2 linked regions of the Bombyx mori genome follow. The protein of the gene in region 1 interacts with the protein of each later gene in a biochemical or structural test. Links are inferred from orthologs where the notes say so. Each region holds a gene or a part of one and is shown on either strand. Other genes may lie near its edges.

Region 1 (3,829 bases):
GCAGTAATGTGTTTCGGTTTAAGGGTGGGGCAGCCGTTGTAACTATACTTGAGACCATGGAACTTATACCTCAAGGTGGGTGGCGCATTTACGTTGTGGATGTCTATGGGCTCCAGTAACCACTTAACACCAGGTGGGCTGTGAGCTCGTTCACCCATTTAAGCAATAAAAAAATAAAAATTAGATCGTGCGCCCGTTGCCGATGTGGTGGCAAGTTATACATTTGCAGTTAATAAGTAGGTAAACGAATAAGTTAATCAGTAACCCAGCGTTTGGGTAATGTACAACAAAATCCTACAAGATGTTCAGAGCCTACATATACATAGGTTTAAGAAAACTATTAAAGAACATCTGTGCAATAAAGCTTACTATAAAGTCAATGATTATCTAGAAGATTGCACAAAGTGGGAATGAGTTGCTCGCTCAGGGCATTTCAATAATGCAATAATTGTTACGTTATAATAATCATTGTAAAAATGAATATTTAAAAAAAATCTAATATTTAAAAAAAAAAAACATGCCCGCTGAGTTTCTTGCCAGTTCTTCTCAGGGCGGAGGCTGGTTTTGTGAATTGGCGGTAGTTCTTTTTGACGTTCAACAAGTGTGTACTTTCATTTATGTTGAATAAAATTTTTTTGGTTTGATATGATTTGATTTGTAAAACATGAAGGTCGTGAGGGACGCGGCAGGCCACGCCGCTAGCACACTGTAAGGGACTGGTTGAGAGGTGACGGTGACGTACTTGCGACTCATGTGGTCCGCGAGCGATGTGTAGAGGCGGTGCCTCCGCAGCCGCGCCTGCAGCTCGTGCAGCAGGTGGCGGAGCTGCATGAGCAGCACCAGCGACGCCATCGACACCAACATGTTGCTGTACACCACCATGTGGACCACGTGCATCAGCTCGAGCACAAGGGACGCCGACTGCAAACGGCGGCGCCATTAGTGTTGCCGGGTGTGGAGTGCTAGTGCAGTGAGGGTGCGCGGTGTCGGAGCTTACATCGAAGCCGAGGTGCGTGTAGTAGGCGAGCGCGCCGGCCGCGTCCGCGCCGCGCTGCTGCAGCACGTAGCGCGCGCCCACGTGCAGCACCGACATCAGCACCAGCAGGCACTGGAACAGACCCACACAGGGAACTTGGAACGCGCTTTTATTCCGGGTGGTAGGACCTCTTGTTAGTCCGCGCGGGTAGGTACCACCGCCCTGCCTATTTCTGCCGTGAAGCAGTAATGCGTTGCGGTTTGAAGGGTGGGGCAGCCGTTGTAACTATACTGAGATCTTAGAACTTATATCTCAAGGTGGGTGGCGCATTTACGTTGTAGATGTCCATGGGCTCCAGTAACCACTTAACACCAGGCGGGCTGTGAGCTCGTACACCCATCAAAGCAATAAAAAAAAACGCGCTACTCTCACTTCATTTCAATTAAGGTAACTTTTTTTTATTGCCCTTGTAGGCAGACGACCATATGTCCCACCTTATGGTGAGTGGTTACCGTCGCCCATGGACTTCAGCAATGCCAGGGGCAGAGACAAGCCGCTGCCTACCGCGAACGCATAACTACACCGTGTCTCGTGTACACCGACGCGGGTGAAACCCACTAATGCAGCTAAAATTACTTTCAATAGATGCAGATACTGCCCGCGCGTAGTTATAGAATAGACCTTCAGGATACCAACGATTGCGTAGGGAAAATAGGAAGAAAAATACAATATTTTTTAATTAATTAGTAAAGAAAGAGAGAGACAATAAACTATTCCACCCATTTATTTTTTTAACCAGTATAGATTATATTGTAACAAAAACAATTCGTGTTATGCATAGGTATAAGAAATTAGTGACATAGAAATGTGTTTTGTAAATTGTGTTTATTATCCTGATGCATCTCATATACTCATAGTCAGTCAGTTATCTAAGCACGCGACGTGTCGGCGCAAGCACGTCGCTCGAGATTACCTCTATCTGCTCTCTGTTGTCATCAGTACACTACGTGCTCATCATGCAGCCGGTATCTCCCCTGTCCGCAGACTCGTATACAACTTGTAATCGATATCCAAAAATAAAACTTACTTCAGCAGCCATAAACGCGAAAGTATCCTTTCCGGCGGGCAAGCCCCATGCGACTGCAACGCCCAATAAGGCAGTGGAGGCGGCCAGTATACCCAGGAGTAGACCGACCAGTCGAACATGCACCCAACGTGCTGTGTTGGGCGACGACGCTAGCTGAACAAAATATTCCCAAATTACAATTCGTCGTTGCAAATTTAAAATCTCCTATGTGTCATTTTGGGCCAAAATGATGTCATATATTATGAAAAAATCCTAAGTGTCGGTTTGTATTGTGTTGTAGATCGAAGTATCGTATGTGCTAAAAAAATATTTGCATATTTTTTTTCAGGAAGTAGTTTTATTAGATTTTCTCGAAAACTATATTTGTACGCGGGATAGGAGATTTCACGACGAATTATAATAATATGCTAGTTCCTACACACAGGAGCTGTAAGCAATTTGTTCAACTTTAAAACGGGATAACCTTGTATCGGATCGGAATCACGACCCACTGAGAAAATCCGGCGAGAAACTCAAAAGGCTATATCTATGGGCTGTGCCGTCGAACTCTTCGTCGTCATCGATAAGTTCGACGAGGATGGTGATCGGTGCTTGAGGATCCTTAAAGCACCGAGAGTGAATGCGGGAGATCCGACAAGACATGTTTCGGACGACGGCGGTTTTGCGTTGCTCCGTCTCGATCGGATAAGTCGCCGCTTTGTCGAAGTAGCGTTCCGACGCTTTCTTAAGATACTGTGGGCCACTCCCTCATATACACTTACACACAAATGGTACACATTTACATGGTACACATGTTAGTAGTATTTTCAGATTTTTAGTATATCTTTTAACGTGAGTTATCCTAGTTCTAGGATATTGTATTCTTTTGTATGGCCTAATAAAGGACTGATTGCTAGAAGAGTGAAGAAATATTATCGCAGTTTGCTGTTATGTTATCTTAAGTTAATCAAGTTTAGCTAACTTACATATTCAAATCGATCCTTGCACAGCTGCCCCATCAGGTGCAGGAAGCCGACGAGAGTAAACCAAGAACACCACAGCATCACCTCGTCCATGTACTGAACGTTGATTACTCCGAAGATGAAGATGAATTTGTAGAAGACATAGTTCCAGAACTTGTCCTTGACGCGCTGAGCCTCAGAGACCCGGAGCTGACCGAAGACGACGCGCTGGATCAGGAAACCGAAGACGGCGAGGAAGCAGTACGCTATGTTTATTAATGTCTGTCAACAAAATATGATTATATTATAACAATAAAAAAAATACGTTTGTTGGTACTTAGCTCCTCGTTACCGTCCTACTTATCGTAATCATAAACACTGTAAAAAGCTTCAACTGAACAAACAAAACTAGATATCTATTTTTCTCCTACCTACGCCGTTCGGTTTTCCTCCCGCTGTACAGGGAAGAAAGTCAAATTTTTCATACCGCTGTACAGGGATGAAAGTGTAACTTCTCCTCCCTGGGTACTGACAAGTGTGCATGCGCGTTAGTGTCTACGTCTGCTCTCACGCACTTAAAATTCTCCGCCATTGTTGTGCTCGGGTAATTTGCAATATTGTGTTTAGTGTAAAAGTGAAATAAACAAAAGGCAATAAAATTTAATAGTGAAGTATTAAACAAAGATGAGTTCATCAGTCAGTTCTTATTCAATTAGTAGTAGTTTATATAATTAAAAAAATAATAATTAAAAACTGTTAAATTGTTTTTTTTTTATGAGTATAGGTGGGCTCGGCCCCCACCAGGGCTTCGCCCCTGGTCCCCGG
Region 2 (4,600 bases), on another chromosome or scaffold:
TATACTTCAATACTTCAAAACAAAATTTATCAATTATAACCTTCTCAATTGAGCAAATATTAAAATAAATTTTTCAAATTTTCTTTCATTATTCTACTTCTGTGTTCAAAAATCATTATATATTGTGAGTTGAAACCTTACACTTGTCATTGGTTCTGCAGAGGTGTGGCATAGTCATAACTGTACAATGGGTGGGGTGTGGACAGTTTTGATAAATCAGTATATTTGTAATGTTCCTTATAATCACAACAAAAAGCATAGTGTCACTGTTTAAAAATAACATTCAAATTCAATGTGCGTAAAGGTATGTACGCCCACATATTAAATGTTCAGATTCTATATTTATAGAACAGTTTCTATTCTCTATCAGTTTGAATAATTGTACTAAGATTGAATTTGAATTTTGCCTGGCTTATATCTTGCTTATGCATAATTTGTTTCTGAGCATTGCTAGGTTAACACCAGATGGGCTGTGAGTCGTCTACCCATCTAAGCAATAAAAAAAAAGGTTTGTACAAGAGAGTTAGTTAAATCAACTATCTACATAATACAAATTATTCCTACAGAAGCATTTTATATTTTATAGATAAAAGTACAACTTTGTATTGATAAATATTTTATTTCTTTGTTAGGGAAATCCAAGAGTTAAAAAAATATACATATCCAAAATTTTAAGGTATACTTCAGAAAAATAATGATCGAGAATAGTAAAGATATCTAGTTAGGGAAGATTATATTATGCCTCTCTTAGTACAAAAGTAGTGTCTTTGTGTGTGATGTGTTTAAATAATATGTTAGTGATCGCTACCTGCTTAATTCCCTAATGATATACAAATGTGTGTCTGAAAGTTTAAAATGATATTAATTTTTAAATATTAATGAATTAAATTTCATTCGTGAATTCATTCATTAATGAATTAAATTATTAAATTCAATTAAAGAAAGCGAACTGAAATATCAGTTTTAATTTTGGACATTACAACACAAACAACAGTTTGCCTATCAACTATTTGGTATATTAGCATCATGTTCTGCCTGCTCTAAGCTATATAAATTGCTACAAATGCATTTAATAGGTTAAGTAATATATAATATAATATTCTATAACAAAAACATTTACAACTACAATGAAATTATTGAATTAAAATGGAAACATTTTACGTGCAAAAAAAAAACCACTTACTGCAGCATCAACATTAGCGGGACTCTCATCATTTGGATCAGCGAGCATTGAAATGACACTGATCAGTATAGTCTCAACTGTGTGCACAGGTAACCATCGTTCTGAAGCTTTTTCATAACCCCATTTGTCATCACCTGGCTCGTGAAGTATTGATATGCAGACATCACCATTTTTATCAACTGAAAGTCATATTTTCATTACATTAATTACATAAATAATTCGAGTGTAATCCACATTTGTAGGGACTCCTTAAACCTGCACCATAAATTCCTCTCTAAAATATAATAGAAGGCACCCACATAGTAAATCCATGGTACTAAGAAGTTCACCTTTGCTTTTTTATTAAACTCTTATTTATTTATTGGATATATGGAGTCAATTGTGTAATGGTCCACCTGGTGTTATAGTTACCAGAGTGAAGATCCCATTTTGTAAATGTCATTATCCAGTTTTAGACATCAAGTCAGTCTCAATTGTATTGAATGACACTGCTTTGAAACAGAAATAGTCAGGACAGTACAGACTCGTTTGGATGAACAATACGTTCAATAATTATAAATACTGTAGTTTTCATATTTATTTTCTATACAATATTTATTAGCTGTAATCATAATGAATTTGTACCAATCAAATTACCCTTAGATTTTAATGAGTGAAGCACTTTACAGTAATGCTATATTTCTCTAATTCAGTGTATCAAAACAAAACAAAAAATACTTAGACATCTAATTTATGATAAGCACTCGCAAAACAAACTTAATGGGTTTGTTTAGCTTTAAGTCAATATAAAAGTAATCTAAACTTAAAATGTTAAAAATACTCTACTATTATTAACTAAAAAAAATTATCATCATACTCACTATTTGGATGCCATATTTCAGTCACAAATTTCATCCGGGGTGGTCTCAAAGGATATTCCTTGGGAAAATTTAAATGTGCTTTAAAGAAACCTCCCTCGCTGAAAATTATTTTTATTAAGAATAAACAACATGTCTCATAATTTAATACTTTTCTTTATTAAATAGATGGTTAAAAAACTTGCAGCCTGTATGGTGGTTACAGGAGTCTTTAGACATCACAATGTGAATGTTGCCACCTGCCTTGAACCATCAGAACTGAATAACTTGAAGCTTCTTTCAAAAAATATGCAGGATGATATACATCTACACATCTTAAAGGCTATACACCATACCACCAGCATTTTTATAAACATTACAATATGCAAACAATTAATAATAGTGATTACTGAGAGATATAGCTTTGAACTATATATAACTTGGGTATTTACTCACTATAGTGTGTCTGGGGGACCAATAATGAGGACTTCCCATTTGTATATATCATTGTCATCTATTAAGCCAGCAGAAAAGCCTTCTACTGGGTTTTTGTTCAGTTCTGAAATAAAAAAAAGATTTAAAAGACACTCATTTTACAAACGACAATGCACAGATCGGAAGATTATGGACATTTAACCGCATTGTTCGCCAGTAATGTGAACCTTTGCCAAATCCAAATCGTAAATACACTCGATCTACAGTTTGACTTTGGCAAAGTGTACCTGTCATCGCAACGGATATTGATTTTATTTGGCAGGTTTATTCCTCATTAATTAACCTAACTCCATTAGACCTGAAATATAATCTATAAATGCGTTAAATACTACAATTAATAGTTACCAAATTTGACTCGATAAGGTCAACGAATTTCGTTCAGAACTTGACTAGCGCGGTGACTGGCATATTATACATGAGTTTTATGTTAAATAAGAACTTACCAGCTAATTGCTTTTTTAATAAAAGCGAAGACTGTGGCTCTGACATTAATTACAATTGTGAAATTTACCCTGAAGACACGAAACAAATGATTTTTCGACAAAAGATGGCTGGCAGAGTTTTGAGCAGGTTGTGAAACATATGAGTTACTACTTACTTCCGGTTGATTTTGTGTTGCCATATATTTTCTGTGTCATTCTACTGTCACTGATTAATCTTAATTATATGGTTTGGTTTACAGCTAAAATATAATTTTATTATTCTTTCAATATTGTTTTTTACTATCTAAGTAACGTAGGAAAGCTCTTGAGCTCTGGTAAATGCTTTGTATTATATTGTCATAAGAAGTTAGTGAATTTAAGAAAACATATCGCTTCGTTTGAGCCTTTCTACACGCCAAACTTCATATTGATTACGACAATTCTGTTGATTAGGTTTAAATAATGCGATGAGATTAGTCAACATTTTCTGTAATTTTTAAGGAGGCAAAGAAATGAAGCTATTGTTCAAAACTTAAAAGTATTAGAGTCTAGTCTAGTTACTGAATCCCTTAACTGTCACAAAGTGCATGCCCTTAAAAACTAAGAAATATTTTATCCAAAACAATGGTATTTCATGTGTTCCACACTTCAATCTTCTAATAACTTTATTTGGTCTAGTAACTCAGAGCGGATATTTATAACGCCACCTATTGAGCGTTTCACAGAGTGTAATAACCTTTTTTATAGATGTCGCTATGTACATACTAGCTTTGGTTTTAAATAAATTATGTTTGAATAACTTATATCCAAAGTTAGGTAGTCAAAGCTTGAATGCATATTTTGAGTTAATATTTTACTAAACTAAAGGGAAGAAAGAAAGACGAAATTTTTAAATTATGTAAAATAATTATATTCATTGTGAAAATGATAAATTATACAAAAAATATTTTACAAATCAACTGTTTCAGAATCTCTTCGTTTTTTCTTTCCGTGCGCATCAGCGTGTCCGTTCATGTGTTCTAGTTTTCTTTTGTTTTTTATATTATTCTTTAAATTTTTTTTAGGCTGCTTACTCGCGATTTCACCATTTTTACTATTTTGGTTAATCGCATTAGCTTTCTTATTATTTTCACTCGCTTTTAGTGTACCCTTACAAGAACCTACGATTTCTAACAAAGTATTAAAATCTAAATTACATTTAACATGGCAGCTCTCGTGGAAAATTTTCATGCTGTTTATCAATTTTTTTAGTAATAGGAAGAAATTGTTTTTGACAGCCAATTGCTGTTGCCCCTTCAGTGTTTTTCTTAATGTAATATCAAATTTATTTTCCAAATTATCTAGGCAAGCGAGCGCTTTATCCGTTTCGGGTTTGTTTCTCTTCAAGGCTCGATACAGGCCCGCCAAAAGTTCCAATCCCTCGTTGCGCCGGAACTGTCTAACTTCGGGATTGAACACATTCTCGATTACGATCGGGGCTAACTCATAAATTCCTTCCCATTCCATTTGTAGAACGTTGTGAAACAGAATGATTGGTAACAAGCAACTGCGGTTCTGGAAGTAGTTTTGTGTTGCTTCCTTTAGCAGTTCCATGATGGGAGACGTTTTAAGCTTTTTTGGTGACTTTAAACTACTGCTTTCGATTTTTTGTGAGCAATGTATTA

The links.
Region 2: the proteins of E3 ubiquitin-protein ligase AMFR (region 1) and ubiquitin conjugating enzyme form a complex in vitro, tested with the Homo sapiens proteins (7 studies listed by BioGRID, with this or other methods). The link is inferred for Bombyx mori from reciprocal best matches to the Homo sapiens genes AMFR and UBE2G1.

Annotation. Positions count from the first base shown.
Region 1 is NC_085125.1:14,678,310-14,682,138, forward strand, and holds part of E3 ubiquitin-protein ligase AMFR, read right to left. Parts: intron 3,287-3,829; coding exon 3,029-3,286; intron 2,217-3,028; coding exon 2,064-2,216; intron 1,109-2,063; coding exon 998-1,108; intron 922-997; coding exon 743-921; intron 1-742. UniProt on the Homo sapiens protein: E3 ubiquitin-protein ligase that mediates the polyubiquitination of lysine and cysteine residues on target proteins, such as CD3D, CYP3A4, CFTR, INSIG1, SOAT2/ACAT2 and APOB for proteasomal degradation.
Region 2 is NC_085122.1:9,586,055-9,590,654, reverse strand, and holds the start of ubiquitin conjugating enzyme, read right to left. Parts: upstream 3,092-4,600; 5' UTR 3,004-3,091; coding exon 2,958-3,003; intron 2,579-2,957; coding exon 2,476-2,578; intron 2,142-2,475; coding exon 2,044-2,141; intron 1,363-2,043; coding exon 1,184-1,362; intron 1-1,183. Other genes in the region: myb-binding protein 1A, read right to left, coding at 3,885-4,600. UniProt on the Homo sapiens protein: Accepts ubiquitin from the E1 complex and catalyzes its covalent attachment to other proteins. In vitro catalyzes 'Lys-48'-, as well as 'Lys-63'-linked polyubiquitination. May be involved in degradation of muscle-specific proteins.